Linked DNA regions of Schizosaccharomyces pombe. Changing the gene in region 2 together with the main gene of any one other region gives a genetic interaction. Each region holds a gene or a part of one and is shown on either strand. Other genes may lie near its edges.

The links.
Region 1: mutations in SPOM_SPAC26A3.11 (region 2) and crt10 together harm fitness more than expected from each alone (negative genetic interaction), as found in Schizosaccharomyces pombe (one large-scale study listed by BioGRID).
Region 3: mutations in SPOM_SPAC26A3.11 (region 2) and rok1 together harm fitness more than expected from each alone (negative genetic interaction), as found in Schizosaccharomyces pombe (one large-scale study listed by BioGRID).
Region 4: mutations in SPOM_SPAC26A3.11 (region 2) and rsv2 together harm fitness less than expected from each alone (positive genetic interaction), as found in Schizosaccharomyces pombe (one large-scale study listed by BioGRID).

Annotation. Positions count from the first base shown.
Region 1 is NC_003423.3:1,326,788-1,335,162, forward strand, and holds crt10 (WD repeat protein Crt10, involved in ribosomal RNA decay), read left to right. Parts: upstream 1-1,928; 5' UTR 1,929-2,006; coding exon 2,007-2,051; intron 2,052-2,103; coding exon 2,104-2,212; intron 2,213-2,258; exon of another isoform or gene 2,259-2,294; coding exon 2,295-2,628; exon of another isoform or gene 2,629-2,670; coding exon 2,671-2,768; exon of another isoform or gene 2,769-2,809; coding exon 2,810-2,930; exon of another isoform or gene 2,931-2,973; intron 2,974-2,977; coding exon 2,978-3,197; intron 3,198-3,251; coding exon 3,252-3,680; intron 3,681-3,727; coding exon 3,728-3,820; 3' UTR 3,821-4,028; downstream 4,029-8,375. Other genes in the region: FAR complex subunit Csc2, read right to left, coding at 1-1,805; gpi13 (pig-O family ethanolamine phosphate transferase), read left to right, coding at 4,279-7,035; SPOM_SPBC27B12.07 (uncharacterized protein), read left to right, coding at 7,325-7,708, 7,820-8,144, 8,212-8,375.
Region 2 is NC_003424.3:3,352,108-3,359,680, forward strand, and holds SPOM_SPAC26A3.11 (mitochondrial omega-amidase), read left to right. Parts: upstream 1-4,569; 5' UTR 4,570-4,624; coding exon 4,625-4,972; exon of another isoform or gene 4,973-5,021; coding exon 5,022-5,642; 3' UTR 5,643-5,795; downstream 5,796-7,573. Other genes in the region: putative Rho-type GTPase-activating protein Rga2, read right to left, coding at 1-151; cnt6 (centaurin ADOP ribosylation factor GTPase-activating protein), read left to right, coding at 408-423, 462-586, 878-3,508; 5'-3' exoribonuclease Dhp1, read right to left, coding at 5,810-7,573.
Region 3 is NC_003424.3:686,343-693,960, forward strand, and holds rok1 (ATP-dependent RNA helicase Rok1), read left to right. Parts: upstream 1-3,010; 5' UTR 3,011-3,140; coding exon 3,141-4,586; 3' UTR 4,587-4,780; downstream 4,781-7,618. Other genes in the region: MBF transcription factor complex subunit Res2, read left to right, coding at 251-482, 647-2,388; atp20 (F0-ATPase subunit G), read left to right, coding at 5,188-5,314, 5,364-5,461, 5,511-5,642; mitochondrial aspartyl/glutamyl-tRNA amidotransferase subunit B-related Aim41, read left to right, coding at 6,225-6,383, 6,507-6,719; lon1 (Lon protease), read left to right, coding at 7,489-7,618.
Region 4 is NC_003423.3:3,530,134-3,538,369, forward strand, and holds rsv2 (DNA-binding transcription factor Rsv2), read left to right. Parts: upstream 1-2,794; 5' UTR 2,795-2,797; coding exon 2,798-4,711; 3' UTR 4,712-5,155; downstream 5,156-8,236. Other genes in the region: SPOM_SPBC1105.13C (uncharacterized protein), read right to left, coding at 1,627-2,055; 3-hydroxyacyl-ACP dehydratase Htd2, read right to left, coding at 5,270-6,172; signal peptidase complex subunit Spc1, read left to right, coding at 6,956-7,039, 7,085-7,171, 7,227-7,292; RNase P subunit Rpr2, read right to left, coding at 7,427-7,750.

The DNA.
Region 1 (8,375 bases), on a different chromosome or scaffold from region 2:
TTTACATCCTTTTCGGTATTCCTATTACAATCCCCTTCTGTAAGGTGACGATTGAAAATTTCCAAAAAATGATTTTCATACAATAAAAATGCTAATCTTTCAAAACGTAGCACATGAGACAAGCGAAACCATTTCAACATCATCAAAAATAGACTTGACAAAGAATATAGCACAAATTCGAGGTTATTTATTGAATGAGAAATCTCACCCGAAATTGCGAATCCTGTTGCAAAGTCTTCCGTATATTCAATTTTTACATTAGACTTACGATTCCTAGCAGCCTGTTCACTTAATTCTTCAGTAGGCGAGTCTACAACTGCATTGTCTTGAATTCGTTGTAAAACAGCGTCTGAAGAAGAGAAAGCCTCTACGTAAAGGCAATTAACTTTTTTTGAAATATGGTAAAACAGTTGGACTGCTAACTGAATAAAATTATCCATATACGGGAATAAGTCATCATAGGATTGAGAGACAAATTTAAGAACAGGATCTTCTGTTTCAAATGAATGAGCAGGTCCCTTCACTGAATTGTAAAACTCATGCAGATCTGCAACGAGTCGTTGCTGCAAAGTAAAGCGACGTAAAAGCTCTCTTTCAGATAACAATTGTTCAACCGCTAGAGTTCTCTTCGTTTTATTTTGGAAAACATTGGCAGCCTCTGTAACACTGTAAGGTATTGTAAGCTTCTCCAAGTTAGGGGTAAAGCAAAATGGTAAATTTTGGTTAGTTTGAAATTGTTCCCTTCGAGCGGACATTTTGCTGGTTTTTGCAGTATTCACCAAAAGTGATGGATTTTCGGGTGAGCAAAGTCGGGTACTAGATATAAAGGATGATTTATGAAAAGAGTCTGTATTGAGAGTAGGTAGTATGTGTGCTTGTTCACGATCAAGTGGTACAGGGTAATAAGAATCAGCAAAAGAAGAAAACTTAGTAGCCATTTCATGACGAAAAACTTCGTAGTCTAATGCTGTGGTTTTTGGCTTTTGCTGAGACGTAGAGATGTTTAAAACTTCGGCCAACCCAGCCTTTTTTTCCTGTAAATAAGACTGAGATCCCCAAAGACGAATGCAAACTTTAAAAATCAAAAAGGATAATTTTTTTAGAGATGAATGAATAACCTTATCGAGGTTCAACTGATAATCGCTGGTTATGTCAATAAATAGTTTTACTAATGTAGGCAATACCGGGGGATTTAATGATCGGATAGAATGAATCCACGTTTTATCAGTATTGTTGAGAGTCAAAAAAAAGAACATTAGAGATAATAGTAAATTAAGAAAACCTTCGTCTCTACTGTTATCCAGAAAGCTGTGTTTACGGGTACGATTCCATTCGATAAAAAGAGAATAAACAGTCTTAGGAATATCAAACTCTCGCAGCAGATAAACGTTTTCTGAAATACTATGGACGTGTTCTTCAAAACTGCCAACGGAATCGTAAGCACCAGCTGCTATGTACAGGATCGAGTAAAGAGCGCTGTTGCGCAGCAATTCACCCGAAGAGAGTTCGTGATGGCAATGAAGGATAAAATTGCGCTTCTGGTCCAAACTCATGGAAGACCAATTTTGTTTGAGGCTCCAGTGACGGACAGTTTGATAAACTCTTAACTTTGAGTAGAATATTTTATTAGCGGAAAGAAACAATTCTTCTTCGCAATCGAAAAAACTATTCAAATCGTCCTCCAAATCATCTTTAGAAGTTCCTTTGAATTCCATAGGTTTGTGTTTAGACGCTGGGGAATCAATAAGTTTCTTTAGTCTTTGGAATTGACTGAAAGAAATACAACTAGCCGTTGTAGCAGCCATACTTTATTGCCCGTCTAAACTAAATCTCCAAAGCTTTTGAAGGCTTTCGTTGTTGATTTTATGGGAAATGCCGTCGAAGTTGTTATGAATAGGGTTCCTAATGGGTGTAATACAAGAACTCACAACCACATCAAATGAACATTAATGTGCCCTTGACGTTTTTAAGCAAATTGTTTGCTAAAAAAGAATATTTATAAAATAATGCAAAGAGACCTAACAGTTGATGAATTCCTAAACTATCTATATGTACTGCTTTGTTTACAAAATTCGATTGTCTTTTACTGATATATCATTTTAGATTAATGTTAAAGAATTATTCACATTGAAAGAGAAATCCTTTCATTTTTGGAGAAATTCACTGATTTCATGTAGTAAAACGAAGAATTTTCTGTTTGTGGTTGTAGGCGGTATGTTATGCTATGTTATATTACAAGAGTTCTCCCTTTATCATTTCTTTTAAGTAATTATAAAAGCTAATACGTAACATAGATGAAGTTCTTGTTTATGACTTAAAGGAGATCTCATCAGATGCTTCAGAACCTGAACCTTGCTTTTATTTGCATTGTCCTCATGAAGCATCTTCCTCGCGGCAAGGAGATATCAATCAAGACATGCCAAATGTCATCAACAATGTTCGTTGTGAATTAATTGGAGATTTGGAGTATTTTATTACCGCCAATGATTGTGGAAAAGTAGCGATATACGATGTTCAAAAGTTAAATCGAGAGCCTATAATTTATGATGTTCAGCATTCAGCTTGGGGACTAGCAGTTTCACCTCTTAGGATCCTTGGCATATCTTCCAATTCTCACAATGTTAATTTGTACGCTCATTCAATAATACCGATCTTCTAATTGTAATTCAGATTTCATCTGTCGCCTGAATTTAAACGATTTAAAGAGGATTACCATTCTCCTTGGTTTAGACAAGAGACATTAGTACTGGAAGGACATGAACATAATAGTATGCGGTTACGAATACTTTACATTGTCTAATGATTTTAGTACCGTGTATAACATTTAATTCTTCAGGAACATTATTACTGAGTGGATCTATTGATCGATCACTTCAGATATGGGATATAACTTCATTAAGTTGCCTTTGCAAGTTTTATACAAAGTTAAGGTTGTAATAAAAAGCTGAATTTCGAAAACTAATTACTAACTTTCTAGTATTTGGGGAGTTAAGTTCATTGATAAAAATGCGTTCTATCATATTTCCATCCTAAAGCACAAACCGGGATCTCTTATTCCGGCGCAACAATTTGGCCAAAGCCCTTGGAAGCCACCCATCATGTCCAGTTCAGCTTTCTTATTATCGCATGAAGAAGATTTCGATGACGACGCGGTTTTTGAAGGTGAATACTATGTTCATATACAGGATGAACTTCCGGTAAGGCTCCTTGTAAACGAGTTATTTAAAATACATTTTAATTAACATACTTAGAAGACGAAGGTAAAAAATTATTTTCGTACTTATCTGCGGCAGAAACCTGAAGAACTATTCATTTTTACTACGAAATTTTCAATAGTTTTATGTGCTTACATGGGAAATTCACAAATATTTCCTTTGGTGAGCAGTAAAAATTGCTTTGAGGAACCCATTACCCCCAGGTTTCAAGCTTTACATAGAATCAATATGATAGAATGTATTCCCGAATTACAGTCAGTTGTTTGTGCCAGTCAGAGTGGTCAATTAACATTGCTTCGCTTGATTTGTACAACAAAAATTCTCAATGGAAATCCAATTTATGTTTACTCATTTGTTCCCCATAAAATTCGCCTCACTCATTTGGTGGATGCTCCTTTATTGGGAATGAGTGTTTGCCCATTGTATCCTGGAGAAGAAAATCCTTTTAAAAGATTTAAAATAATGGTAAGCATCTATAAGATTATGTTTTTAGCTAACTGGTGATTTCACAGCTTACTGTTTATACCGGAAAAGTTATTTCTGTAGAAGTTCAGCTCTCGGAAAATTTATACGACACTAGTCATATAGGAAACATACCTCTTTGACGATTCACGGAAATTACACTTTCAAGTTTTTACTTTTTTCTTCCGTGTTAATGTTTGTTGATGTTTTTACGTACACATGTATATTACCCTTTGGGATGTTTGTCAGTTTATTTCTATTAAGTTATTACAATTACAACAAAGGAGAAAAGTTAACATTTTTAAAAATAAAACTAGTAAATATATAGCATCAATCGACAGAGTTAGGTTGCCGTAAGAATCATCTCGTAAAAGCAAGTTGATCTTACTAGTTAAATTTGTTGCGAAAGCTTTTATTTAAAAATTAAAAATTCACTCTTGGTAAATTTCCATAACCAATTATCAGTCACTTTAAGCCTATTTCCATCTTCTTTGGTGAATGCATTACAATGTTTACATGTCTTAAACCTCACCACGGAACTTGTTCTTGCGATTTACCTTCTTCAATCGTTTAAGTAATATATCAAAGAGAAGGAGTATTCATGGAGGAAAAAAGGGTAAAATGTAAAAAAAAACTTACCAGTACCATTGGAACTTGGAAATATATTCAAGCTTGCATCTTTTTCGCGATTATACTAATTTCGAATTTTTACGGCTTGAAATCGTTCACCGACGGGTTCCTTTTACGAAGAGCTGTTTTAAACCAAACGTCTTTATGCGAAAACCCGCCTGCCGATGTGCGCGAATGGAAAAATTCATCAGGTTGTTGGGCTCCCAAAATATTTGAACGGGCCGTTATTGTCATCATAGATGCTCTCCGTTATGACTTTTTAATACCTTATAATGATAGCAATTATTACCATAATGCATTCACGACTCCATACGAAACTTCTGTCCTTCATCCAGAAAACTCTTACTTAACACAATTCATAGCAGATGCCCCAACTACTACATCTCAAAGATTGAAAGGTCTCACTACTGGTTCGTTACCAACTTTTATTGATCTTGGTTCTAACTTCGCTGGAACAAATATTGATGAGGATAATCTGCTTCTCCAATGGAAATCATTAGATAAACAAATCGTATTGCTAGGTGATGATACTTGGGACGTATTGTTCCATGATTATTTGAATGAGACACTCTCTCAACCTGCTTTTTCTTTCAATGTACCTGATCTTCATGGAGTAGATAATAAGGTTAATCAATATGTATTCGATTATATAAAAGATGCCAACTTTGATGTCCTAATAGCACACTACTTGGGCGTTGACCACGTTGGTCACCGCTTGGGACCTGATCATCCAACAATGCGAGATAAACTGAATCAAATGGACAGGTGTGTGAAAGAAATGATGGATCTACTGGATGATAGTACATTACTCATTGTCATGGGAGATCATGGTATGGACAACAAAGGAAATCACGGTGGTGATTCATTCGATGAAATTAACTCTGTACTGTGGATGTATAGCAAAAAGCCAACCTTTGGCTATTTGAAACAACCAGGTAAAGTACTAAGTGCAAATCAGGTAGATCTAGTTCCTACCTTAAGTTTGCTCTTAGGAAATCCCATTCCGTATGGCAACCTTGGTACCTTAATTCCAGAACCTTTTTACTACTATGGAGATGAATATTTGTCGAAAGCCCAAAAGATTAATATCGGTCAACTCAATCGCTTCTTTAGCGAGTATGATTTAGATGCTTCTGACTTCCTTTCGTCCTCTGTCCATAAAAATAATAACTCTTATTTAGATCAATACTTTTTAGACTTTGACTATGCAAGAGACGCATTCTCTTACTTTAAAGCAATTTGGGCGGAGTTTAGTCTTTTCCCTATGATCATTGGATTTTTACTTCTTATTATAGGTGGATTTAACTTGGCTTTGTTGATGCAAGATAAGTCGGTGATTTTTAGGATGTCTGCCAATATGGCTCCATCAGTCATGAAATGTTTGCCGGTTTGCTTAATTTTAATTTTGGCAAACAACGAACTTCATTCTCCGTTCCCGGCGGAATTCTATGTATTACTTCCTTCATTTTACATCCTGTTAAATTCCTTTAATCAGAAGTTGATGGAGTACTTTAAAGGTTTTGTCAAGTTGGACTACTTTAGTATTTTTATAACTTTTCTACACGTTTGCAGTTTTGGTTCCAACTCTTTTACAGTATGGGAAGATCGCCTTTGTCACTTCTTGATCATCACTATTGGACTAGTTATGTTTTGCAAATGCTTTTCCGAAATGAGCCCCCTTTTTGCATGCTCTACTTACTCTGCATTGGCATTTATCCTTTTACAGGTAATTTCTTCGTACGTAACTAACTGTCGCGAAGAGCAAGGTGCGTTTTGTGTTAGCACGTACATCTCAACTCCTGATAACAGCCTCAGAACCTTGATTGTTTTGGCGTTAATGGCTCTTTCTTCTATTATATTGCCTCTCATTCTGCAACTTCACTTGCGACGCGTTCTTGGCCTTTCTTTAAAACTTTATCATCTTTCAATCCTCTATTTTTTCGAGTTAATATCTTCAATATTTTGGATTGCTCATCATGTTTTCGCGAATGATGCTTTATTAGAAAAGCAGTATCATCATGTTTTATACTCACTTGCAAATACTTACGTAATTTGCATTCTTGGTGTTTTGATATGGCAATTCTTCTTACTGTCGCGATCCAAGTTTGCTAAAATAAATGTCATCGAAAGATCATATTTCGTTTTTGCATTACTATATTCTTTTCTCTCATTTTTGCAAAGGCCCCTGGGACATCTCTCTTTATTTTCTTGCTTTTTACAAATCCTGCTTCTTATTCAACTTAAACAATGGCAGCCAAGTGTTGGTCACAACTTCTTTTCGGTAACGCTAGGTTTATTGGGATTGTCGCATTTTTTTACAACGGGAAATCAGGCTGCTATATCGTCTCTTGATTGGAATTTTGCATTCATTCATTCAAAATCTGCTGAAAACCAGGCTATAAGCGCTATATTCATGTTTTTGCATACGGTCGGTGCGCCGATACTTACTTGCATTTCGATTCCACTATTTTCATTCGAACCACTTTCCAAGAAAAATAGATTCTTGATAAACTTGTTTCGATTCTCCTTTTCTTTCATTCTTTATAACCTATTGATCTCGACGAGTACTGTCTTCTTTGCTGGATTTTTTCGTCGCCATTTGATGGTTTGGAAAGTGTTTGCACCTCGGTTTATGCTAAGTGGAATATTACTTGTTACTCATCAGCTCTTTGTCCTGATCCAATGCTTCGGAAGTTCTGTTGTCAAATTTCCTGAAGATGCTGAATAACAATAAAGCTTCACTGCCCTCGTTCAATTTGACGTATAATTAGAATTGTAGAAATATTTTCTTTTATATCCTTTAACATTTTAAACCTTATAAGGAAATAATCAAAACCACTTATCAATGCATTTTCATCATTATTATTTTCTATGGGTACACCCATACTACTCCTTTACGCCTTCTGATATGTACATTTAACATTCACCACAATCATCGTACCCAATTTTTAACAAAAATTAATTATGTCTGTTAATAAGTTGCTTAATTTATAATCAAAATTTGGTAGCTTGACAAAATGTTCTCTTTGCTACGAAAAGCTATAGATGTTAATCGATCCCGAATTACCTTGCATGGGATTAAAGTGCATAGTATCAATACTTTTCGTTTAATTCCTTATTCTTTATCCTTAACGAAGCAAATTCGATTTTATGCATCAGAAGGGACAGATGCAGGTGAAATGGAAAAGGGTCTTTCAGTAGTAAATGCCAATCACGAAAATCGTCCTTTCAGAGACCTTGAAGGATATCACTTCAACACATTTACATTTTTGAAAACTTTAATGGATAAAGGATATACAGAAAAAGAGGCCGAGGGTCTTCTCGAAGTCACGAATATGTTTGTTACTGATATGCTGCGACATAGTCATCTCAATTACCTGTCTGAAGCTGATTTTGAAAATGTACGTATGATTTATTAAGCTACAGAATCCTTCCGTCTTTAAATTTATCTTTAATTATAGATTGACGGTTTTTTTTGCTTTCAAATGAACTGTCATAGCTAACTTGTATAGTGCTCCTATTTGTTTCGTACAGCTTTGTCGGAGCTTCGCTCAGAGAAAATAAATATGAGAAAAGATCAAATCAGTTCGTTACGTTCAGGCTTGTTTTCAAACCAAAGGGAAGTAGAAAGTTTGGAACAATTGGTTCACGAGCAGTTAAACAAGCTTAATACCGAAAGCAAAATGGAGTTTGAAAATCGGAAAAATGATACAAAGAATGAAGTCCAGCAATTGAGTGCAAGAATTGTTGAACTACACAATTTATTAGCCGTTTCGTTAGGTAAATTGAGGGCTGAAAATGAGAGGCAGAAATGGGACCAAATAAGAAAAGCAGCAGGTAAGTATATTTATAGTTCAAACTAGGTATTTGAAATTTCATTTATTAATTTCCTTTTCTTTTTCAGGTGTGGTGATGGCTTTTACAGGGTTTTTAGTGCTGGTTATTCCATTTGGACTTGGAGTACGAAGCAGAAAAAAAGAAAAACAAGATGAGCTTGATAATTTAGGTTCATTTAATTTAGATAACAAGCGCGATGATTATACTGATACTAATCTCTCCCATATGTGA
Region 2 (7,573 bases):
CGTATATAATTTCTCTTTGCTTATTCACTAGCTTCATTAATCTCTCATTTTGAGATACAATCCCAGAATTATCCTCTTCTTCTTCATCTTCCCAAATCTCTGAATTCAGCTCAATTTTTGAATACTTCTCCAATTCATTTCCTTCTTTCATTATTTTTTCAAATAGAAACGTAGTTTCTGCATGAAAATAAATGATTTCGGCAGAATATGCGAAAGTGGTGATACGGCAAGTTGTGGGCTCTGACCGCAAGAAAAAACCTGTCGTCCGCACAACATCCATCTTTACCATTTGACGAAGAGAACAAGCAGCTTCGTATTGAGAACCCTCAAATTTTTGATTGAGACTCCTTCAAGCTTTGCTGCCGGTTCTCATACCGAATTTATACTAATAGCCCTTTGACCCGGCAATGGACGGAAGTGACTGTATGTTTAATATTTTTACTTTCGTTACTAACGTTTAGCTTTATTGAAATCTGTTGATGTTTCCAAATTAGACAATGGCTCTACCATTTCATTCCGCGCCCGAGAAGATGGGTTTCTAGAGTCAATATCTAGCTCATCAGGAAAATTGGTGGACATGGTTTTGGTATGATATAAAAGCTAAGAGTATCTGAACATTGAGTAAAATATTAAAATAGACACATTTAATAGTGTCGATTCTTTTGTCAAAAAATAGTTATCACTCTTACATCTATTTATAAGTCCATTCTTTTGAACTGGATAACACAGACTAATGAATGACAATAACTACAAGACAAACAGATATAGTCTATGATTTTATCCAAAAGGAGCAACTGGAGCAAGCCCATTGTGCATTCGTGTTGCTCGAAGATGTTCTTATTTCCATATACGATTTTACTAACTTTGTAAAAATTAGGATTCTACATCAAAAGAGTGCCTCCCTAAGTTTAGTTTTCAAAACAAGCTAGACTTCTACTTTTTATTCAGTGATCGTGTTCTCCAGTTGCAGAAGGAGAGGAAAGTACTTGTACTCATCCATTGCGAATCGCTTCAATCGTTTGATTCTTTTTTTGCTCAGAAGTTGAAATATGCAGACTTAATTTCTTCGGATAATGTACATGAAATTTTTTTACCAGATTCAAATGCGGCCAATATCAGATATCATTGGGAGTGGTCACCTCCTTCGGGTAAACTTCTGGAGTATGAATGCAAAAACTATTCTTGCATAGCCGTTTACTCTACTGAAGACTGTACTCTTGAACGTATCTCAAAATTTAGCTACTACACCGTATCTCGTTGCGGTGATTCTATGGATGATACATTTTTTTCGGAAAGCCAGCGTGTCACGTCGCCGCTAACTACTAGCCAGACGGTACAAACCCAACCTCCTCAATCTCCGGAAGCGAAGACGGAGCTTTCATTGATTAATACCAAGACCGTTATATTCCCAGAGAATTATGAGGATGGACCGTCATTCCGATCTATGTTGCATGAGCTTGAGCAAAAATCATCTCTTATGAAGTATTATTGCAAAAAAATAATGAAACGTATTGTCCAATTAAGTGATGCATACGATGCATCGCAAGTTGCTGTTATGAAATTGTCAGAGACACTTTCGGAAGCTTCTAATAGCACCAGTATGAATATGGACATACTTCTGGACAGTTATTTAACCAAGGCTATGGACATTCATGCCACCTTTATACAAAAACTTAATTATGATTTAATTAATCTTTTATATGAGCCATTTCATAACATTTACTCAAGCTTCATTAAGCCAATTGATGATAGACGACTTGAATTTGATGAACAAAGCAAAAGCTTTTATGGATCTTTGTCGCGTTATCTATCAGCTAAAAAGGACAAAAAGGGAGGAGACTCTAAATTTTTTCAAAAAGAGAAAACGTTTGCCTTACAACGATATGATTACTATTGTTTTATGCAAGACCTTCACGATGGTTCCATTATTAATGATATTAACGGTATTTTTTTGCAGTACTTTCATCGCCAATATGACCATATTGCACTTTTTAGTAATTTGATGAATAGTGTTCTTCCGAATCTTCAGCAACTCAATTTAAAACTTGAAAAAACAAAATGGAGTACAACCAGACGTGACAAGGGCAGAGAGATGCATCGTTCCCAGGTAATTCAAACTAGCGGTCGTCCAAAGTCCATGGCACCGCCTTCACCATCTCCGATTTCCCCTTCTTTCCCTTTACATGAAATACAGAGTCCTATGCCAAATCGTCGCATGGCAGCCTCTGCAGATGATATTAGCCAGACAAGCAATTTTACAACGGAGATAAAGGGAAAGTGCATTTCTAATGGGGGTAGTGCAAGCCCTGACAAGATTTTTAAAGAGGGTCTACTCTTAGTATTTGGTGCTACCGAACTTGGTACAGATCTAGCTATGGTTAGTAAAGCCGCTTGGCACAAGCACTGGATTGTTGTTGAGAACGGTTCTTTATGGGAGTATGCAAACTGGAAAGATTCCGTAAAATCTAATGTTTCATCCATTTCGTTAAAACATGCATCTGCTGATAAAGTTCGCAAACAGGGAAGGAGGTTTTGTTTCGAAGTTGTAACTCCGAAATTGAAGCGACTTTATCAAGCCACGTCTGCTGAAGAGATGGACTCGTGGATTGAAGCTATATGCGAAGCAGCAAAGATTTCGTCTTTCCAACTTTCTAGGGTTGCAACGCCGTTGAGTGCAAGTGTGAGACGACCCTCTAAGGTATTTCCACTATTTTCTACGAGTTTTGAGACCACGCCTATCAGCCGAAAATTAAGCGGTTCGGGTATTAAGAAGGCTTTCAGTAGAAAAGGCTCGTGGAACCTTCAACAATTTTTTCGATCAGACAATTCGGGTACTATGCATATGGAACAGTTAGAGAGATACCATGCCAGTGCAAACATTTTCATTCAAATGCTCCGAAAGACCGATGTCTCTAACAGTGTGTGTGCAGATTGCGGTTCGGTTAAAGATGTTACTTGGTGCTCGATCAATATACCGGTAGTTCTTTGTATTGAATGCAGTGGTATACATAGGTCTTTAGGTACTCATATATCGAAAACACGTTCTTTGCTACTCGACTCGTTATCGCAGCAATCGAAAGTCCTTTTGTGCAAAATTGGTAATGCTGCTGTCAACCGTGTTTATGAAAAAGGACTTTCTAATCCTTCGCTGAAGCCAAAGCCGGAGCATAATGCGCAGGTGAAGTTGGCATTTGCCCAGAAGAAGTATGTGGAACACGCATTCATTGACTTTGCAGGAGTAGATGCTGATGCTACTTTATTGGAGGGTTTGGAGCAAAATAAAATCTCCAAAATATTACTAGGTTTAGCCGCCAAACCAAATTTTGAAGAGAATGGAGTGGTGTTTTTAAAAGCGGTTACTCGTGATACTAGTAAGTTACATCTCTTGGAACTTTTATTCATGAATGGGTTATTGCTTCCTGACTCCGAACAGTTGTCGGAGCATGTAAGTCCAGATATGCAATCATATCTTTCGCAAAAACAATTTACAAAGTATTTGAAAGAGTAGGGAGAAGCATTTTTACTTTTTGCATCAAATCATCTTTTATGTTCATTTTTCCAATCGAATTCATTCTTTCTTTTTACCATCTATTTCAATATCTATTCAGGTGTCATTTCATTTCGGATTTCCGTGAATTCCATGATTTGAAGCGCAACGAATTTGAATGGAGAGCTTATTAATCTCCACAGCTTTACTCTTATTCGGATCATGTGTTAATTCTATAATTTATTATTGCAATTTATTTTGGTTGTTTGCTAAACAACGTAATTTACTCATTATTTTCTTGGTCATCTTTTGGTTTTCGAACTTTCTTTTCCTCTTTATTTTCATTATACTCTTAATCTTTTTTCTTTCAATACAAAATTTTTTGACTAAGGATACAGCTATTCTTTCTTTAAATACGCATTCAAATGCGATTTTTAGGCTCTTCTCGATTGATGGATCTTATGCATGCCATAAGTTCATTTGTTATTGAACAAGATCAATATTCAATATACGTGAAATTAACATGTATGCCAAACAGTTCATTCGAGCTATTATAACATTTATTTTCTTCTTTTGCGAAACGAAGACGCTTAAGATTTTATTTTTCAACACATTCGGAACAACTGAATATCTATAGTAATTGAATCCCCTTTTTCTAAAAATGACAGACGATATTATCATTACCTATAAACTAGTTGACACAGTAATAAATATCATTCTTTTGTAACTTGTAGATAAACAAAAACAATTTTTTTGGTCTTGCCTTCCGTAACATTCAAACAACGATTTCTATTTGTGTAGTTGCTGCTTGAATGTAAATCCCTTTTTCTTCTTTAGATTTACAATAGATTGAAAACTAGTTTGATGTCGACATTCTTCTTATCAAAGACATGGAAGTTTGATCACCTTGCTAAATTTCTTTTTGATAACAAGGTGTAATTTGGATTGGAGGATTTCGCTAGCCACGTGCTTAATAAGTTACATTGAGATTTCAGGAATATAATATTTTGGAGCTCAAAATTATCGCAAGCTAGATATTCTGAGACTAGCCTACAAATCAGGACATCTTCCCTCGTATCTTTGCTTTCTACTCATTCCTCTTCCTTCACCTAAAATTTCAAGTCGGTGATTGTTTATATGAACAGTAAATTTTTTGGACTCGTTCAAAAAGGCACAAGATCCTTTTTTCCTTCATTAAATTTTTGCTATACAAGGAACATCATGTCTGTCTCAGCTTCATCTCTGGTTCCTAAAGATTTTCGTGCTTTTCGTATTGGCTTGGTTCAGCTTGCCAATACCAAAGACAAGAGCGAAAATTTACAACTCGCTCGTTTAAAAGTATTGGAAGCCGCTAAAAACGGTTCTAATGTCATTGTATTACCAGAAATTTTCAATTCACCATATGGTACTGGTTACTTTAATCAGTATGCTGAACCTATAGAGGAATCATCTCCTTCTTACCAAGCTTTATCCTCTATGGCAAAGGTTTGTTAATTTAATTTTCGTTGATTATGTGAGACTAACGGTACTGTAGGATACTAAGACTTACTTATTTGGCGGTTCTATTCCTGAACGCAAGGATGGCAAATTATACAACACTGCAATGGTGTTTGATCCTTCTGGAAAATTGATAGCCGTTCATCGGAAAATTCATTTATTCGATATTGACATTCCTGGTGGAGTTAGCTTCCGCGAATCTGATAGTCTTTCACCTGGCGACGCCATGACTATGGTTGACACTGAATACGGGAAGTTTGGTTTGGGTATTTGTTACGATATACGATTTCCGGAACTCGCTATGATAGCAGCTAGAAATGGCTGTAGTGTGATGATTTACCCTGGAGCATTTAATTTGTCCACAGGCCCTTTACATTGGGAACTACTTGCACGAGCCCGAGCAGTTGATAATGAGATGTTCGTTGCTTGCTGTGCCCCTGCTAGAGATATGAACGCTGACTATCATTCATGGGGACATTCTACTGTTGTAGACCCTTTCGGAAAAGTTATTGCTACTACTGATGAAAAACCGTCTATCGTTTACGCAGATATTGATCCCTCTGTCATGTCTACCGCTCGAAACAGCGTTCCTATCTATACTCAACGCCGCTTTGATGTTTATTCAGAAGTATTACCTGCTCTTAAGAAAGAGGAATAGATCGGTATAGTTGTTGAGTATAATTTTATGTTATCAACATGCATTTTGTAACTGAATTGCATAACTAATTATGCAATGTGCCAATGAAATTCAAATAATCAGATATATTATTTATCTCCAATATCCCAAACCCGCTTTCAAAATTGTACTAAGAAAACTTAAATGTATTAATAGTAGCCATTCCTGTTATTATTGTTATAGGATTCTCGCTGATAGCCGTAACCCTTTCCGCGATTACTACTATAGTGGTTACCAGCTGGCGGTCCATTCGAATAACCACCACCTCTCGAGCGCCCGCCGTATCCTTCGTGGCCGCCGCGAGAGTTATAGCTTGCATTAGAACGAGGAAAATTGCCATTACCAGACCAAGGAGGTTGAACTCCACCGTTTGCAAAACCATTAGTAACTCCAGTGTAGCTCTGTCGACTACTGTAACTTTGCGATTGGTAAGAGCGTCGGACACCATAACTTTGGTGTCCTCCACGATACGAATTACCATTGTTTCGGCGGGAAGAAAAGCTCCTCTCTGCACGTACTTGGTTGATATCTTCTGGGGTTAACACCCTGTTCGGCATTTTCACTCCCCTTAAAAGCATGGATTTATGTACGAAATGCGATTTAGGTACTTCAAACACAAGACTTATAGATTGATTATCATCTATGCTTCCATACTTCTGAAGGGCGTCAGCGGATGTAACATCAATTGGGCATTGAACGGATACATTGGGAATTACGGAATCATTGGTGTTAACTTTGCCAAACAATCCATGTGCCATCTTTCCGGATAACTTAAGTGGTTTACCTTGACGTTTCTTGGAGTAAAGTTGTTTGACAAGTTCGCTAAACATTGGATGATGTTCAGAAATAAATAATAAAGTAGAACCATCCTCATTTCTTTTTGACTCTTCCTCGGTAAGTTGAGGATAGATTTTTGATACAGCATTCAAAAGCCGATTTTCATCTATAAATGGTAAAAGAGCAACTCCCTGCCATTCAAATTTTTTCCCGTTTAAATCAATAGTAAAATTTTCCGGGTAAAAGTCAATAATTTCAGAGTTTTCATCAGTCATAAGAGTTTGCAATTTTTCAGGTAAATTATTTTTACTAGCAGCAGGTAAAACGCCTAGTAATTGTTCGTAAGGCTTGAAGGGTTGATTTAGTTCAAATTTTACATCTATGGAGGCCAAATCTTTGAAATCAGCGGCAAAAGGAGCATAATGATATGGATAATACCAGGTCCAAGATGGACAGCCTTGATAATAATACAAAAGAACCCAGCACAATCCATGAACATAATGTTTAACAGCTTCACGAATTTTTTCTGGTTCATCGGGTGAAATGTGGAATTTTTGTTCATAATACCGTTCGCGGTATCCAGGCTCATACAGGCGGACTGTATCAGTATTTTCATTTTCTTCAGTCGAATCTGGGGCCTTTCTCTTCTGACCCACATTTGAAACTTTTGTGTCTATTGGATGTACAACAGGGGTACTAGATTCAATACTATCGGTATCTTCATATGCACTGGATGAAGCTATGCTGTCTTCCAAAGGAACATTTTGTAGTGTCTCATTTGAAACCAACTGAGCTTTCAATGCAGAGGCCGCCAATTTGTTAACTGAAGAAACAGCAGCTGCTTCCCTAGAAAGTCCAAGACGGTTAGCAGCGCGATTATTAATTAATTCTCTATTAGTAGCGCCTAGAGATCGATTTGAAGTTTTTTCAGACAAATTAACCAAATCCACTGGAGCCGGAGCGTCAATTTTTTGAGTTTTCTTTGGCGGTTTAGTATCAACAGAAGTTGATTTAGAAGAGGTAACAACTTCTGTCGATTGCGTCTCAACTGAACGCTGAATTACGACGTTGTCAACATAAGATTCTGATTCCTGATTTGACTCGCGTTGTTGACGGCGTCTATAGTTTTCGTTACG
Region 3 (7,618 bases), 2.7 Mb from region 2:
TTAAATTCCTTTGCAATTCAGTATTACAAGTGTAGTTCTTTGGCAACTGAGACTTCCCATTGATTCCTTTCATTAAGTGAATACTCATTATTTAATTAGTGCTAATATATATTCAGTAACTACATAGTTGATTTTCTGTATTGCCCCACCCTTCCCTATTGTTATGTGTATACGCAGGTAGGGTGAGCGAACGCAATGCATGCACCCTTTTAAGAGTCCGCGCTACGCATTTTAACTGCCTTTTGCTGTAATGGCTCCACGTTCTTCCGCAGTACATGTTGCCGTTTATTCTGGGGTTGAAGTCTATGAATGCTTTATTAAAGGTGTCTCTGTGATGCGCAGACGCCGCGATTCCTGGTTGAATGCTACACAAATCTTGAAAGTGGCTGACTTTGACAAACCACAAAGGACAAGGGTTTTAGAAAGACAAGTACAGATTGGTGCGCATGAAAAAGTACAAGGTGGATATGGAAAATATCAGGGTAAGTTGTCTACTGTTACGCGTTGTGACATGATTTGCTATCTTTGAACAACGCGAACAATTGAGTGTTTACTAAGCCAAATCGAGGTATTTTAATACCTTTTTGTATTAAATATCTCTATGGACGCGTCCTCTAAATGATTGACGGTATTAACCAAACTATAGGAACTTGGGTTCCATTTCAGCGTGGGGTCGACCTGGCCACAAAGTATAAGGTTGACGGAATAATGAGCCCAATATTGAGTCTTGACATTGATGAGGGAAAAGCAATTGCTCCAAAGAAGAAGCAGACCAAGCAGAAAAAGCCTTCTGTACGTGGCCGTAGAGGCCGTAAACCGTCGTCACTTTCTAGTAGCACTTTGCATTCCGTCAATGAAAAACAACCGAATTCTTCTATATCACCAACAATTGAGTCATCTATGAATAAAGTGAATTTGCCTGGTGCAGAGGAGCAAGTTTCTGCAACACCTCTGCCAGCGTCTCCTAATGCACTGCTATCACCAAATGATAACACTATAAAACCTGTTGAAGAGTTAGGCATGTTGGAGGCACCGCTTGACAAATATGAAGAGTCACTACTTGACTTCTTTCTTCACCCAGAAGAGGGACGCATTCCTTCCTTCCTGTATTCGCCGCCCCCGGATTTTCAAGTTAACAGTGTTATTGATGATGATGGCCACACTTCTCTTCATTGGGCATGCTCAATGGGACATATAGAGATGATTAAGTTATTACTGAGAGCCAATGCTGACATTGGCGTGTGTAACAGACTGAGTCAAACACCATTGATGAGGAGTGTTATCTTTACCAATAATTATGACTGCCAAACTTTTGGACAAGTGCTTGAGCTTCTCCAGTCTACTATTTATGCTGTTGACACCAATGGTCAGTCAATTTTTCATCATATTGTGCAATCAACCTCAACTCCTTCAAAAGTTGCAGCGGCCAAATACTATTTGGATTGCATATTAGAGAAACTAATATCGATTCAACCATTTGAAAATGTTGTGAGATTGGTAAATCTACAAGATTCAAATGGAGATACCTCTCTATTAATTGCTGCTCGAAATGGAGCCATGGATTGTGTAAACTCTTTATTAAGTTATAACGCCAATCCTTCTATTCCTAACCGACAAAGACGTACAGCTTCCGAGTATCTTTTGGAAGCTGACAAAAAGCCACATTCATTGTTACAGTCAAACTCAAATGCTTCGCATAGTGCTTTTTCATTTTCCGGAATAAGCCCTGCTATTATCTCGCCATCATGCTCATCGCATGCTTTTGTTAAGGCAATTCCTTCAATATCTTCGAAATTTTCTCAATTAGCAGAGGAGTATGAATCTCAGCTTCGAGAAAAAGAAGAAGATTTGATTAGAGCGAATCGTCTCAAGCAAGACACGCTTAATGAAATTTCCAGAACTTATCAGGAATTGACCTTTCTGCAGAAAAATAACCCCACTTATAGTCAATCTATGGAAAACTTGATTCGAGAGGCCCAAGAAACTTACCAGCAGCTTTCGAAGAGGTTACTAATATGGTTGGAAGCACGACAAATCTTTGATTTAGAGAGAAGCCTCAAGCCACATACTTCATTATCTATTAGTTTTCCTTCCGACTTTTTAAAAAAGGAAGACGGACTTTCGTTAAATAACGATTTTAAAAAGCCGGCTTGCAACAACGTGACCAATTCTGATGAATATGAGCAATTAATTAATAAGTTAACTTCTCTCCAAGCTTCCCGCAAAAAAGATACTTTGTATATTAGAAAATTGTATGAAGAACTAGGAATTGATGATACAGTTAATAGTTACCGTCGTCTTATTGCAATGAGTTGTGGCATCAACCCTGAAGATTTGAGTTTGGAAATACTCGATGCTGTGGAAGAAGCATTAACCCGAGAAAAATGAATCTTGGAAACTTTCATTTACATCTTGTCTTAATGTTACGTTCTTTATTTAATGATACGAGTTATGATAGTTAATGATTTTATCCATGACACTCACTGTCAAACTGCATTTATCAACGTTATCATACTTTGATAGAAAAACACGAGTTATTTTATATATTATTTTCGAATGGAATCAAGTGGAAAAAACATATATTGCTCCTTCCTAACAAAACTATTATGTTACTTATTTATGCGCAGCTAAAACAATCTACTATTGTAAAATGATTTATCTCATTTACAGCGCGTGCTTCCATTCATGATTCATCCTTTTTGCATTCGCACGTTAATGATCATCTAAAGGATACCAAGTTACTGAGCTTCACTTTAATTTGAGGGTCCTGTTCAAATAGGTAAAAGAGTGATTAATACAAATAATCAATTATTTAATTGAAAGAAAATCTATAGCAGTATTTCTCGTAAATACGATATAAAAATATGTAACCTATAAACGCAGAAATCGCGTTTTTTTGAATACATTTATTATGTTTACTTAGCATACATAAATTTAATAACGCTGTTGGAATACACAATTTGAATTAACGTACTGGTTTAACTAGAGGACGTTAGTGCAGCCTTTCCCCAGCAGCTACCATACTTACTTTAGTCGTGTATATGTATAATTGAAAATTTCAACAATCTTTTATTTTTGTTCCTTCGTTGAAATATCTACTAAAATATTTTAACTTTGATAATTAAGTATTGCATAAGGAAATGGATGCGTTGAAACTTTTGACAACTAATGTCAAATTTAAGAATAAAGTACCTCAACCTTCTATAAAAGAAAAAGAAGCAAAAAAATTACAAGGTATTACTAAGGGAAAAGCTAAAGTTACTGGTAATAATCCTGTTGATCCAATTGAAGAGTTTCCGGAAGGAATACTTTGTGAAAACTTAAAAAAACAAAACATAACAGAATGTACCACAATTCAAAGATATGCCATTCCAACGATAGGTTCTAAACGAGACCTATTGGCATGTGCACCAACTGGTTCTGGAAAAACTATTGCATATCTATTCCCAATTTTGCAAAAACTTCAGTTACATGTTCCGGGTGGATATAGAGCGATTATCGTAGCGCCGACTAGAGAACTGTGCGAGCAAATATATAGACAGGCAGAAAAGCTGTCTTTTGGAACTTCATTGAAGATAATTGAATTAAGTAAATCTAATGAAAAAATTCAAGAAAAAGCGCCCAAGCTCCGGGAAAAGTATGACATGTGCATAGGCACCCCGATGAGATTAGTACAAGCAATACAAACCGGATTGTCCTTTGAAAAAGTAGAATTCTTTGTTATGGATGAAGCTGATAGACTTTTTGAGCCTGGCTTTATTGAACAAACTGATCATATTCTAAGTGCATGCACCAGCTCTAATATTTGTAAAAGCCTTTTTTCCGCTACTATTCCATCACGCGTCGAAGAGTTAGCTAAAGTCGTAACGGTTGATCCGATTCGAATCATCGTTGGTTTGAAAGATGCAGCCACGGATAGCATCGATCAGAGACTCTTGTTTGTTGGTTCGGATACTTCCAAAATTGTGATTTTGCGTCAAATGATTTCAAATGGAGAGTTAAAGCCTCGAGTCGTAATATTTGTTCAAGATATAGAAAGAGCGAAAGCATTGTACACAGAACTCTTATTTGATGAAATTCACGTTGGTGTCATTCATGGAGAATTACCACAAGCCAAGCGCGAAGAAGCACTTGCGAAATTTCGGAAGGGTGAAATTTGGGTTTTAATAGCAACAGATCTTCTTGCTCGTGGTATCGATTTTCATGGTGTAAAGATGGTCATCAACTTTGACTTTCCTCAAAGTGTTCATAGTTATATTCATCGTATCGGTCGAACTGGGCGTGCAGGAAATACAGGACAGGCCGTTACTTTTTTTACAAAGGAAGATGGTGAATATATCAAGCTTATTGCTGGTGTAATGCGTTCATCAGGTTGCGAGGTTCCAAACTGGGTTATGGCACTTCCTAAACCTAGTAAAGAAATGAAAAAGAAGTTGAAGAAGAGTCCTCCTAAAAGAAAGAGGATTACTACTAGAGCTTCTTACGACAGACAAAAGGAACAGCGTAAGAAGGAGTATATTAAGAAGGTAAAAAAAGAAGCCTCTATCAAAAAGCATAATGAAGCTACTGGAGACAGTGGACAATAGATTGTTGCTACTGAAAGTATTTATATAAAGGGTTTTGGGTTTTAGTTTAGTTTTTGTGTTCATTTAAAAAAGTCATATTCACTCCAAAATACTATTGCTTTGATATAATAGAGCCTTATATTTTTTAGCAATCATATTATTTTCTTTTACTTTTATTTGTGGTAAGAAACTTTTATGTTACTGTGGTACCTGACATATCTAACTTTACATCTTTTGTTTAACAATAATGCAGCAAGTGCTGTACGGCTTTTTAAAACTGATAAAAATCTACACGAGTACAATTAATGTAGGCGTAAACAGGTACAAGGAGATTATTTTATTTTAAGTACCCAACAGGGTTTTTGCAATTGTTATTTTAACTACAATTTGAAAGCTATATTACGTTGCTGACACTGTTTTATAATTTCTCGTTTTCGAAATCACGAGTGTGTTTCAGTAAATATTATATTGTTTTAACTTACTTTATATTGTGTATCATTGAAATTACCTATGAACGGAGAAAAATTGGTGTTACTTAATTGGTATATGGGAGTAGAAACTTCATCACAACCTTAACTTACCGAATCCCATCTCTTTCCAATTCAGGCTATTTCGAAGTATAATGTTTTCCACAAGTCGAATTATCTCTCGTATTAATTACAATTTTTTAAGGAAGAGTCACTACTCTACTAAAACAGTTGCTGAACAAGCCAAGGGTCGTTTCACTCCCTTAATCCAAAAATTATCGGGTATTTTAAACATAACGGTTAATTTGTTTAACTAACTTTTTCAATTTAGCTGTACAACAACCTATTATGTACTGGGCAAATGTTTCGAAAGAGCTGGTTCAACAAGTATATCATTCTCAAAAAATTGCACCCCCTTCCAATACTCATGTAAGCAACTATTTGCTACAAAGAACAGATCCACTAATTTCTCTTTTAGTCTCCCTTCCTTTTTTGGAAAAGTCAATCCTCTGAAGCATGGGGCCGCAATTTTTTCATCGCAGTTGAAATAGTTGGTATTTTCTGCGCTGGCCAGATGGTTGGTCGTAGAAAAATTACTCCATATCATTAAAAAGATGAATTTAATCTTTCATAAAAGCTTCTGATTGCTGGATACTTATGCATTTCAACTACTGCGAATTCATTTTGTCTCCAACATACACCAGGCTGTTCAATAAATGAGACTATTAATAACTATCTTTTGTTAACATATTAAGATGAGGTCTTTATAAAGCATTTCTGTTAATAGGGAAACTAAATTATAGGTCTTAGGTAGCAGGACCTAATTGTAGGCGTAAGTGTTATTACCCGGCACTGTATTGCTTGTTTTTCAATTTTGATTTTGAATAACCATTAATTTAATTGTAAAATCTACCGAAAGCAAATGTCTCATTTTCGCAATCAATCTTAAAATCAGTTTGTACTAATAAATAAATATTGCTAAATTGATGGAGTTACCTCACTGTCAATGAGCGATTTCGCATATTTTAGTTTCCACATCTCCAAACAAAATGGGATAATCCTACTACCAAATACTTTCTGCGCTACACCACCTTTAGGGGAATTTTTGGGTCTGACCTGAAAACATAATCCAAGAAAAAGAATTCAATGTTTAATCAACGCTTAGTACACACATCAAGGATAGCTATTCGTAATGTACAATACTTACGCTATAATAGTACATGTAAGCAAACTTAGGAATAGTCATTTATTTGCTAACGCTTCAGCAATCCCAAATCTTCAAGCAGTTATTCGTAAAAAATTGCTGGATTCCATGAAATCTAGGCAAAAAGATGTTGCGTCTACTTTAAAAGTACGTTGGAAATAAAACGTGACGGTCTACATGTTAAATTGCATCAGTGTTCAAGCAATGTGAAGAGGCTGTCAGAACTATGTTATCTATGTTTGTAGATGAATATGACGCTAACAAGCTTAGGTATTTCTCTCGGAAATCGAATATGCAAACAAGTCGAGTAAGCCAGTTACTACAGACTTAGACGTTCTGCGAGTACTTAAAAAAAACATAAAAAAGCGTAAACAAGCTATTGAACAGTTTCGCAAGGCTGAGCGTCTTGATCTAGCGGAAAAAGAAGAATCTCAGATTCAAACTTTACGACAATTCCTACCTGAACATGCTAGTAATATTTAAAAATCTGTAAAAAGAATACAATCTAGTCATTTAATAAGTCTCTATCCTTCAATGCTTTATCAGCTTACCCTCGAATTTAAAAATATCTTGACTTAAATAACTCAACGTTCTTAATGTGTGCAAGCCACGCTACTAAAGACAGTTTCTTTTGGTTTTTTAATAACAATGTTATACTACGCAGCAATATGACACGATTGATTCTGCAACGTATCATTACATATCCTGTAAATGCTATGCGCTCTTTCAATGTTTTGAATTGAACAGCTAAGACTTATGTAATGAGAAGCTTTCTGAGTTTTTTTACACTGATTCAATTTATGCATGTGAGTTTCCATTCATACAATTAAATTAAACAATCGTCGCTGTTTTCAGCTCTTAACAGCATTATCTTATTATTAGTAATGAAATTTTGGTTAAAATTTGATAAGCGATCGGTATCTTAATTATTTAAAATAAAAGTTAATGCGGTAAAGTAAGTGAAACTATTGCAACGCTTCGATATCTCATCTGTTGAACTATTTGAAGCCGAAAAAATTGGAAACTTTAATTTTTTTCCTTTATAATGAGTATTGTATTAAATGCTTGAATGGTTTATTTAATAGCATTGGAGGTTGGAGGCAAGTAAGCCAATTCCCTCTTTGCGCTCATTATGTGACGGCGACTTACCAGCTAACTCAGCAATTACCAACTACCTTTAAATACGCCAGAAAATTAATAATAGCCCGAAACGTTCTTTGTGCCAGTTTGTAATTTAAATTCGTACAGGCCCATGATTACACGTTTATCGGGCGCTTGCTTGAGGCGATCAGGTGCTAAAAGAAATTGGCCTCGTGAACATTTGGTTCATCGGTCTTTGCTTGCTAGTTTTTCCACTACACAGAGGGTTTTAAAATGCTCAG
Region 4 (8,236 bases), on a different chromosome or scaffold from region 2:
TGTACACTATAACTATTCTATATATACATGCCAAACGAGAATGTTTTTCATCTGGGCGATATCAGAAGAAGCATTATCAATTTGCTAGTGCAATTCATAGACAAAAAGGCGTTTGGTCTTTGTGAGAAATTTTTCATATCGCGTTGTATCACGGCTGAATACTCCATCTGACAAGAAGATGAATTTTTCTTCGTGGATTTGTGATTAATACATTTATTGAATGAAATGATTAATATAATGTTCATTAAACCCGAATCGTATCGTGATATTTATAAGTAGTACAAATATAGTAAACGCGCAAGTTTTTCTTTAGGTAATTGTTTGTGCGACCTTAAGCAAATTAACCTAGTTGATGCGTTACACTGTTCTTCGTGTCATCTTTCTGGGTATGGGGAAAGTGTGTCTAGTGAATGGGGTTAAAGAAGGTTATCTAAGCGACTAGTTGATAGCAAACAGTTGCATAGCCAGGAAGATTGTGAATTGTACGGTACATCGTAGTTGTGAGGTAATACGCAACTTTCTAATTGAGAGATATCAAATTGAATCAGCTCGATCGCATACTTAGATACTTATTAAGTGTTGTAATTTCGTCAAATAAAACTTTTAACAATGTAAAAAAGTACGTACTTTCTTCCGCTCCTTGCTTAATACCACAATAAATGAATTTACCTAATCTGTATCTAACAACCACATAGTCAACGGGACTAACAAATTCCAGTAAAGTGTTAAGGATAAAAAGCTTTCAGCAATGAGAGCGTACGACTCTTTCTCTAATCTGACATGTTTTCTTTTGTGTTTATAAAGCATTCGTTTTGTATTGACAAATTTTTCAATTACCTTGGGTAGGTGAATTATTTTTGGGCATATGACATCAGAACGCGTTGAACAATTAAGTTCACTTTGACAAAAATACAGATTTTTTATCACTACACGTCGTTTACTTTATATTTTACTTCATCTTATTACAAGGTTACTCTGTAATTGTAACGTTTGACGAAGCCCATAATCCAATCCTCTTTTTCGTTGCAGAGGAAAATAAGGAAGAGTAAGTACGTAAAGCCTACGAAAAGAAAGAGAAATATAAAAAAGTATACGTTTGTCAGTGCAATATTGAATGGTAAGTTTATTAATTGTTCCACTCATCGACTAAATAATAAAGTAGAAAGACGAGACATTTATGTGTATGCTAGAACACACTGGAATCCATTTGTTCACGAGTTGTTCTCGTAATAACATAATGATTGGTATTGCCGTGTGTGAATGCCAGTGATTATTGATGTTTGAAAGACTACAACTGATAAAAAGATAGTTGCACTAGTGATAAAAGTCTGTTGAAATTGGTATGCTCTAAAAGTCATTTGTACTTGAGTAAGCAGTCATATGCGTGTTGGCTATCCATCTGTTTGACTTGTTTGAAAATAATACACATGGGTTATGCTTTTCACAAGAAAGTAGAATAATTGATTCCTACATCTGCATCATCCATATCGATCGGTAAAGTATACTTTATCCTACGAATTGGTTTCATAGTTAAATCACTCCTCTGCTTAGCAGCTCCGCATCCCCTTCGTGTACTAGCCAATCTCATCGACATCGACAAATTGACTTCACCTGAGTTAAGCATACTTAATTCAACTTAACGAAGTGCAACCCACCACGACTGACCTCTGTAATCTCGGAAAACGGATAAGACGGTTCAGTACGTTCGCTAGTAAGAAGCATGCATGCAAAGGTACAAGAGCAGGCTTCCCATGCAAACTGAGAAAATAATCCCTGAAGAATTGCTAGTAAGCCAAATTGCAGCGCCTCCAAACATCCTTCTATTAAGGACCAGAAAGAATGATGCTGATGACTAATTTTTGGGTTATGCAAGAAGCATCTGGCATTTTCTTTAACTTCTCCACGAATAAGGAGAAGGTCACACGACGGAAGCGTGGAATAATGATGAGTTTGATCGTCGGTAAACTCCCCCAGAGTAGCGAAGATCATCGGCATCGAAAGAAAGAAGGGAAGGAAAAAAAAAAGTAAAAACGACTTGATGAATTCCGTGATCATGTAGGGTAACGGAAGACGAGATTACCGAGTTTAAGTAAGCAATCGAGGTCTGCATTGCGATGCCGATATGGTGATCGGGAACATGAAGCACTTGATTGACTTGAACATGTAGGGAGGAAATTTTTTTAGCGTTTTTAGACTTTTCATTTAGCTGCTATCTTAGGAGTAGCGTGACACGGCGCAAACGAAAAACAAGACATTTGTTGTACCAAACATCCTCAATTCCATCGCATCTCTAAAGTACGAGTAACTAGAGTAAGATGCAAATCAACGTCGTGATATGACCTAAAAGTATCGTGGACTTGATTCATCCTTCAATCTCATCTTTCCCCGACTCCGCCTCTTCATTTTGACCTCATTCTATGATTGCTTTTGGAATGAAGCTTGCAGCGTATTCCTTCATTAGTGCGTTATGACTAACCGCGATATATAAGGTGATTTAAGTACTGGAAGCTCGCTTTCCATATGAGAGGACAGCGTAGAGCGCAAGTCGCAGATTGAAGGAATGTAATTGGGGTTCGCTTACACATTACGCGCTTTTATTTGAAAAGAACGAATCAGCAGCACTGCCAGCGCATTCTGACATTTCCATGCTACTTCATTGGCGGCCTCTGATTGGCTCAATCAATGTAAAACGACGTCAATTGCTAACCAATGTTGTTTGACAAGGGTGGTTTTTTCAATCAGACGCTTGACGTCATTCTTTATATATACATTGCCTCGCGCATCTTTGCTGGGTAGTATGGACACTACAAACAACACATATGCAAGATCAATTTCTAGTAATGGGAACGATAACTTTCCCACTCCAGATTGGCAATTTAATGGATCCCAATTGCAACAAAATCGTAAATCCAAAATGAATGGTCGCTCTGTGACTAATGTATTTCCGAATGCATTCTCGGATGCTGAATTCGAGCAAATCTCGATGCCCGAACTCAATTTAAAGCGTTTTAACCCTACTACGTTAGAAGAAAATAACTCAGATTTATCTGATATGTCCTCCTGGGACTATATGATGAACGTTCCCATTCGTGTCTACAACGATGCTGACACAATGGACCCCTTCTCCCTCGACACTATTCCCGATTCCTCGATGGACATGCCATTTGATCCCTTAGCATCTGACTATGGTAACGCTGCTAACTTTCCAAGTGTCCCTTCGTCCCTTGGCAGCAATCATCAATTTATCACCACACCTCCTGTCAACGGGTCGAACGAACCTACCTCGGCTCAAACGAATCACATTATTACTGCTAACAGTTCCCCCAGTGGAAATGCTGGGAGTAACGCATCTGCAAGCATGTCCGTCCCTCCTCCTCTTACTCCATCTGCTTCCACCATTAATGACCAGCCCTTCTCCAACTCTTTCGATTTACCTAGTCAGGTGATTGCTGATGGCACTGGCGCGATTTCCGACATCAACGGTAATCCATTTCCCATGAATTCTCCACCTTTGGATATGGAACCGTTGCCCTCGATATCCATGGATGCAAGTGACTCTGTCTCCGAACAACTTGTAAAGGACGCCTCTCTTCCTAGTGGTCCTTTTTCAACCGATTATTTGGAGAATGGAAGTGACTTAAAAAGGTCACTGGGTCACAATCAAAAGTCAGACAGAGTCTCAAAAGATGTCTCACCTCAACACCAAGCAAATCCCTCTACCCTTAACAATCCTCTCAAGACCCAAAATTTTGATTCCTCTAAGAACCTTTATACCGACAACAAGGATTCCTCCCTTGTATCTCCAACGGGACTTCAATCCCGTATGGAACAAAATCCGGAAGTGCGGGCGCATCCTATGAAGGACTCGGCGACGAGCACTGCGTTACGCCGTTCTCATGCTCTGGGAGCTGCTGCTGACTCTCTTCTTCCTCAAGAAAACTCCGCTCAGATATATGATGGGAAGGATGTATCTATGGTCAATGATAACATGCACTCCGATGTTCGGCAGGACAGCTTCAATAAAGAATCTATTAAACAACGCATCCCTTCTTTGTCTCCTCCGATAACGCGATCATACAATGCCAAGCATCGCCCCTCCTTGGTGCTTGGTACGTCGGTAAATCCACATTCACTTTCTCCTTCACAGCCTCCTGTTGTCGTACCTTCAAATACTACGATCAGCTCCTCTCCTCCACTCACTTCTCCTGTTAAAACCTCTGCTAATATACCTAACTTATTACCGACTTCAGAGTTAGACAGTTCCAACGCTCCTCACTCTCAATCGGCTGCTACTCATGACCTAAATGACGTTAAGTCGTATTACAATACTAGGTCTTCTCATTCCGTGGTACCTAATCCAACCAACCAAAAAGTAAGCATCACCGGTGCTGCTGCTGATGGCCCCAACGGATCTGCTCCTGTTGACACCACTCCTACAAATTCTTCTACTACTGCTACGGGTGCTCAGAGGAAGCGTAGGAAGTTTAAATTTGGTAAACAAATTGGTCCAGTTCGGTGTACTCTTCAGAACAGAGTTACAGGAGAAATTTGTAACACAGTGTTTTCTAGGACGTATGATTTGATCCGTCACCAGGATACGATACATGCTAAGACACGACCTGTATTTCGATGTGAGATTTGTGGCGATCAACGCCATTTCAGTAGACATGATGCCTTGGTTAGGCATCTCCGTGTGAAACACGGTAGATAAATTGAAAGGAGTCTCTTCTGCCACAAATATTAAAAAAAGGTTATTGCATTATCTATTGTCATTTTTCACCTCTTACGCTTCTTCATTGATTCCTTGTTTATGAATTTTAAAAAAAGTTGCATTTTGCTAATTATTTTCAAGAAAAAAATTGGTACCGTTATTATTTCACAGCCCTTTTGAAAGTGCTTTTTCCTTTGTCTCCTTTCATGTACATTTATCATCTTAATTTTGCCTCTTCATTTCATCGTATCCTCAAGCTTCATGTGTAATTTCAAACCCCTTCTCCGTCTAACGGTTTCCTTTTTTATTTTGGACGGTCATAAGTGTTTTTATATTTTGTTTTCATTTTTATTGGGATTGGTTAATATTGTTTTTTTTTTCTTACCAAGTTACTGTTAAATGTTAATAAAAAATTTTGTGTGTTTTCACCTTAAATTGAATACCTATCATGTAATTTGATTTAGTTTTACATACTTAAATTTTAATATTAGTAAGTAGTATTTGTAATTTAGAAATATTTTTTCTGCCGGTATTAATTATTATTGTTTTTCAGTTATGTTAGGTATAGACGCGGCCTCTAGCAATCAAAGACGGTGGATCAAGGTCTGTAGTAAATCGATCAATCCATAGGTTACCTGTCTCTGAGATACATATGCGTAGTGGTTGATTGACAAACGCGGGAGATAATAATCGAAACTCAAATCTTTTCATGTTCTTTGACATTTGGGGATAAACAGAACGAAAGTACTCTAACATACTAGTCACTAGAAGAGGACCTGGAAGAACGAGATTTGGATAATTTTCGGACTTTGTAGCGTATGTCGCATTCCAATGGATCATATGAGCATTAAACATTAATGCTGAATAGCGAAACACCATAATAGGTGTAGGTGTGAATACCCAAGAGTGTTGTGGAATACTTTTGCTACGTAAAGTTTTTGGTATAGCCAGTTCTTGTCGATTTAAATAGGCTAATGTTCTATCTTCCTCGATACATAATTGATGCTGACTGTCGTAAATTTTTCTTCGAATATATACATGCTTTGTCTGTTTTTCTGAAGTAGGCTTTGTTAGAAAAGAACTTTTTGGAAGACAAGCTTCAACTTCTTTTGTAATTGATGGAGATTTCACAGATTCTTCCTGAATCAATTCATGACATTCCGAAGTTTGGAAAAGATGTAAAGGTCTATGAAAACGAAGGACTCCATGTAACCATATTCGGCGCTTAAAAGAAAAAGGATTATTTGGCTTTGGGGAATAAAGACTTTCATATCCATCTGAATTCAAATTTGATTCAGGAGATGCTAAAGAGAAAAAAAGAAAATGGTAACCAGGCTGTAATGATGTTATTTTAGCATCCATTGTTATGCAACTAACAGGCAAATGACCACTTAAAGTAGCTTTTAACTTATCAATTGGCGCTTGAGATAAGAAATCCTTTAAAACGACCTTTGCTGACATCGATGATTACTTTCTGAAACGCTTTGCACATTGACTTTTCAAGTAGGCAATTTATCAATACTGAAGGTGATCTATTAGAAATTATTATAAATTAGCCGAAGCAATTATCCCTAAGAAGACCTCAACTTTTAAAATCGGAAAGGACAAATCTTTGAAGCAATAAGCTCTTAATTTTATGGAACCTAATAACTTTAACAGCTACACATTACTAATTGCTTTTGGCACGACCCAAATTGCTTAAGGTATACGTGTAATGCTTGTTTTATACCGTTAGTGGAGACTTGACCTCTTTTAGCAATGAAGTACTAGCAAAATTTATGATAATCGCACATCTAATAAAAGATAATTTCACCAAATGAAAAAAAAAACCACCTAAGCAATTAATATACGATTTAAGTCACATACATTTAAATTAAGCCCTTGTTGGTGAATCTTTATTAATTATTAATCGTTTATGAACGCTGAAGTACCTTAACCTGTTAATTGTAAAGATCATTTCTATATAATGTTAATAGGTCATCAATGAGCCGCTTTTTCATTTTCAAATCGAATTTGACATTGAGGTGTTGATTTACATCTATTGAAAATGAAGGAGCAACCGATTTGCCTATATATTTTCATGCCTCTTTTTTTGCTTGTTTTTTGTTTCATATTCATCAATGTACAACGTGCTATTGGATTACAACACGTTATTATGGTAAACCGAACGATAACGAGATTCATTCGTTGTAACCACATAATACAAAAAGCAACTTTACTGTTTTGAGAAAGAGCAAGCATACCATGAACTATCTTGAAGGTACGATCGATTTTGCAGGACAATTAAGGTGTCAAAAGTATATGAACTATGGTCTATGTACAAGTGCTGTATGTCAGGGATAAAATCTCATTTATTTACTAATATATCTATAGGTTATTTCGTACATTTATGGGTATTTAGTTCAAGATTCTTATTGTGTGATTAAATTGTTTTTAATTTTAGCATCGTTGGTGGCTCTTGTAAGCTAGTTTTTTTGCTTCTAGTCATGTAATATTAACATTCATTTAAAAATAGGTGTGTCTTCCTGCTTGGTCTATGTACAACAAAAACCCTTTAAAATTTCAAAAGAAAAAGGAGTAAGCGGGAAATGGGGAATCTTTCTTTACTTGAATCGCAATCTCGCGAAATTAAAGAACCAAAATACCAAACAAAAGTTGCTCCGGCTTTATAGAATACAAATAATCTTTCATTCCAAAAGTAATGCTAAACATGTTTTAACAACTTTTGTCCGAAAACCTTTTTTTAAACGCACATTTTTTGCATATCCACAATACACGATCGATAGATGGATTTTTCCGTGATGGTTCCTCAAATCTTATTGAACATGACTTTCCTGGTACCAATAAAGAGTTACATCCTTTACATATGGTGCGCTTTATATCTGGGTGTATTCGCATTACTGATTTTTGTGAAACATCCTTGGCTGTAGAGATATAGTGTCTCGACAATGTAGGTTCTTGAACGTTTCTAAAAAGTAATTGCGAAGCCTGGTATAAATATGATACCCTTGCATGTTGGTCCTTTGACTTTGTACTCATCTCGACCGTTTATGTTTAAAACACTTGAGCTATTAAAGGAATTGCAAAACAGAGAACAAACAACTTTCCGTTTTTATAATGGAATGCAAAAGTCAAAAAAATTATTTTTAACTTAACAATTTAATTATGTTTCTTATAAAAATCCTTCATTAAATTAATTAATAAATAGTTAATGCTTGTTGCAGTCTGATTTTACCATAGGTCAAATTTTTAATTTGTTTTTCCACGGTAAACTGCGTTATGTAATTCTTTGTAAAAGAGTACGATAAATTTTTAAGGCTTTTGGATCAATTATAACCGAGATATAAAGAGAGCACATATGTTTATTCAATTAAAAAAAAATCGGTCTTGAGTTTCGCTTGGGTTTATATGATTAATTTCTCTTACCTATAAATAGTGAGAAATCATATATTCGTAAGCTATTATTAATACTTGTTCTTTTTAGCTGATGATGTGGAACGAACAAGAGCCTAATATTTTCATGTA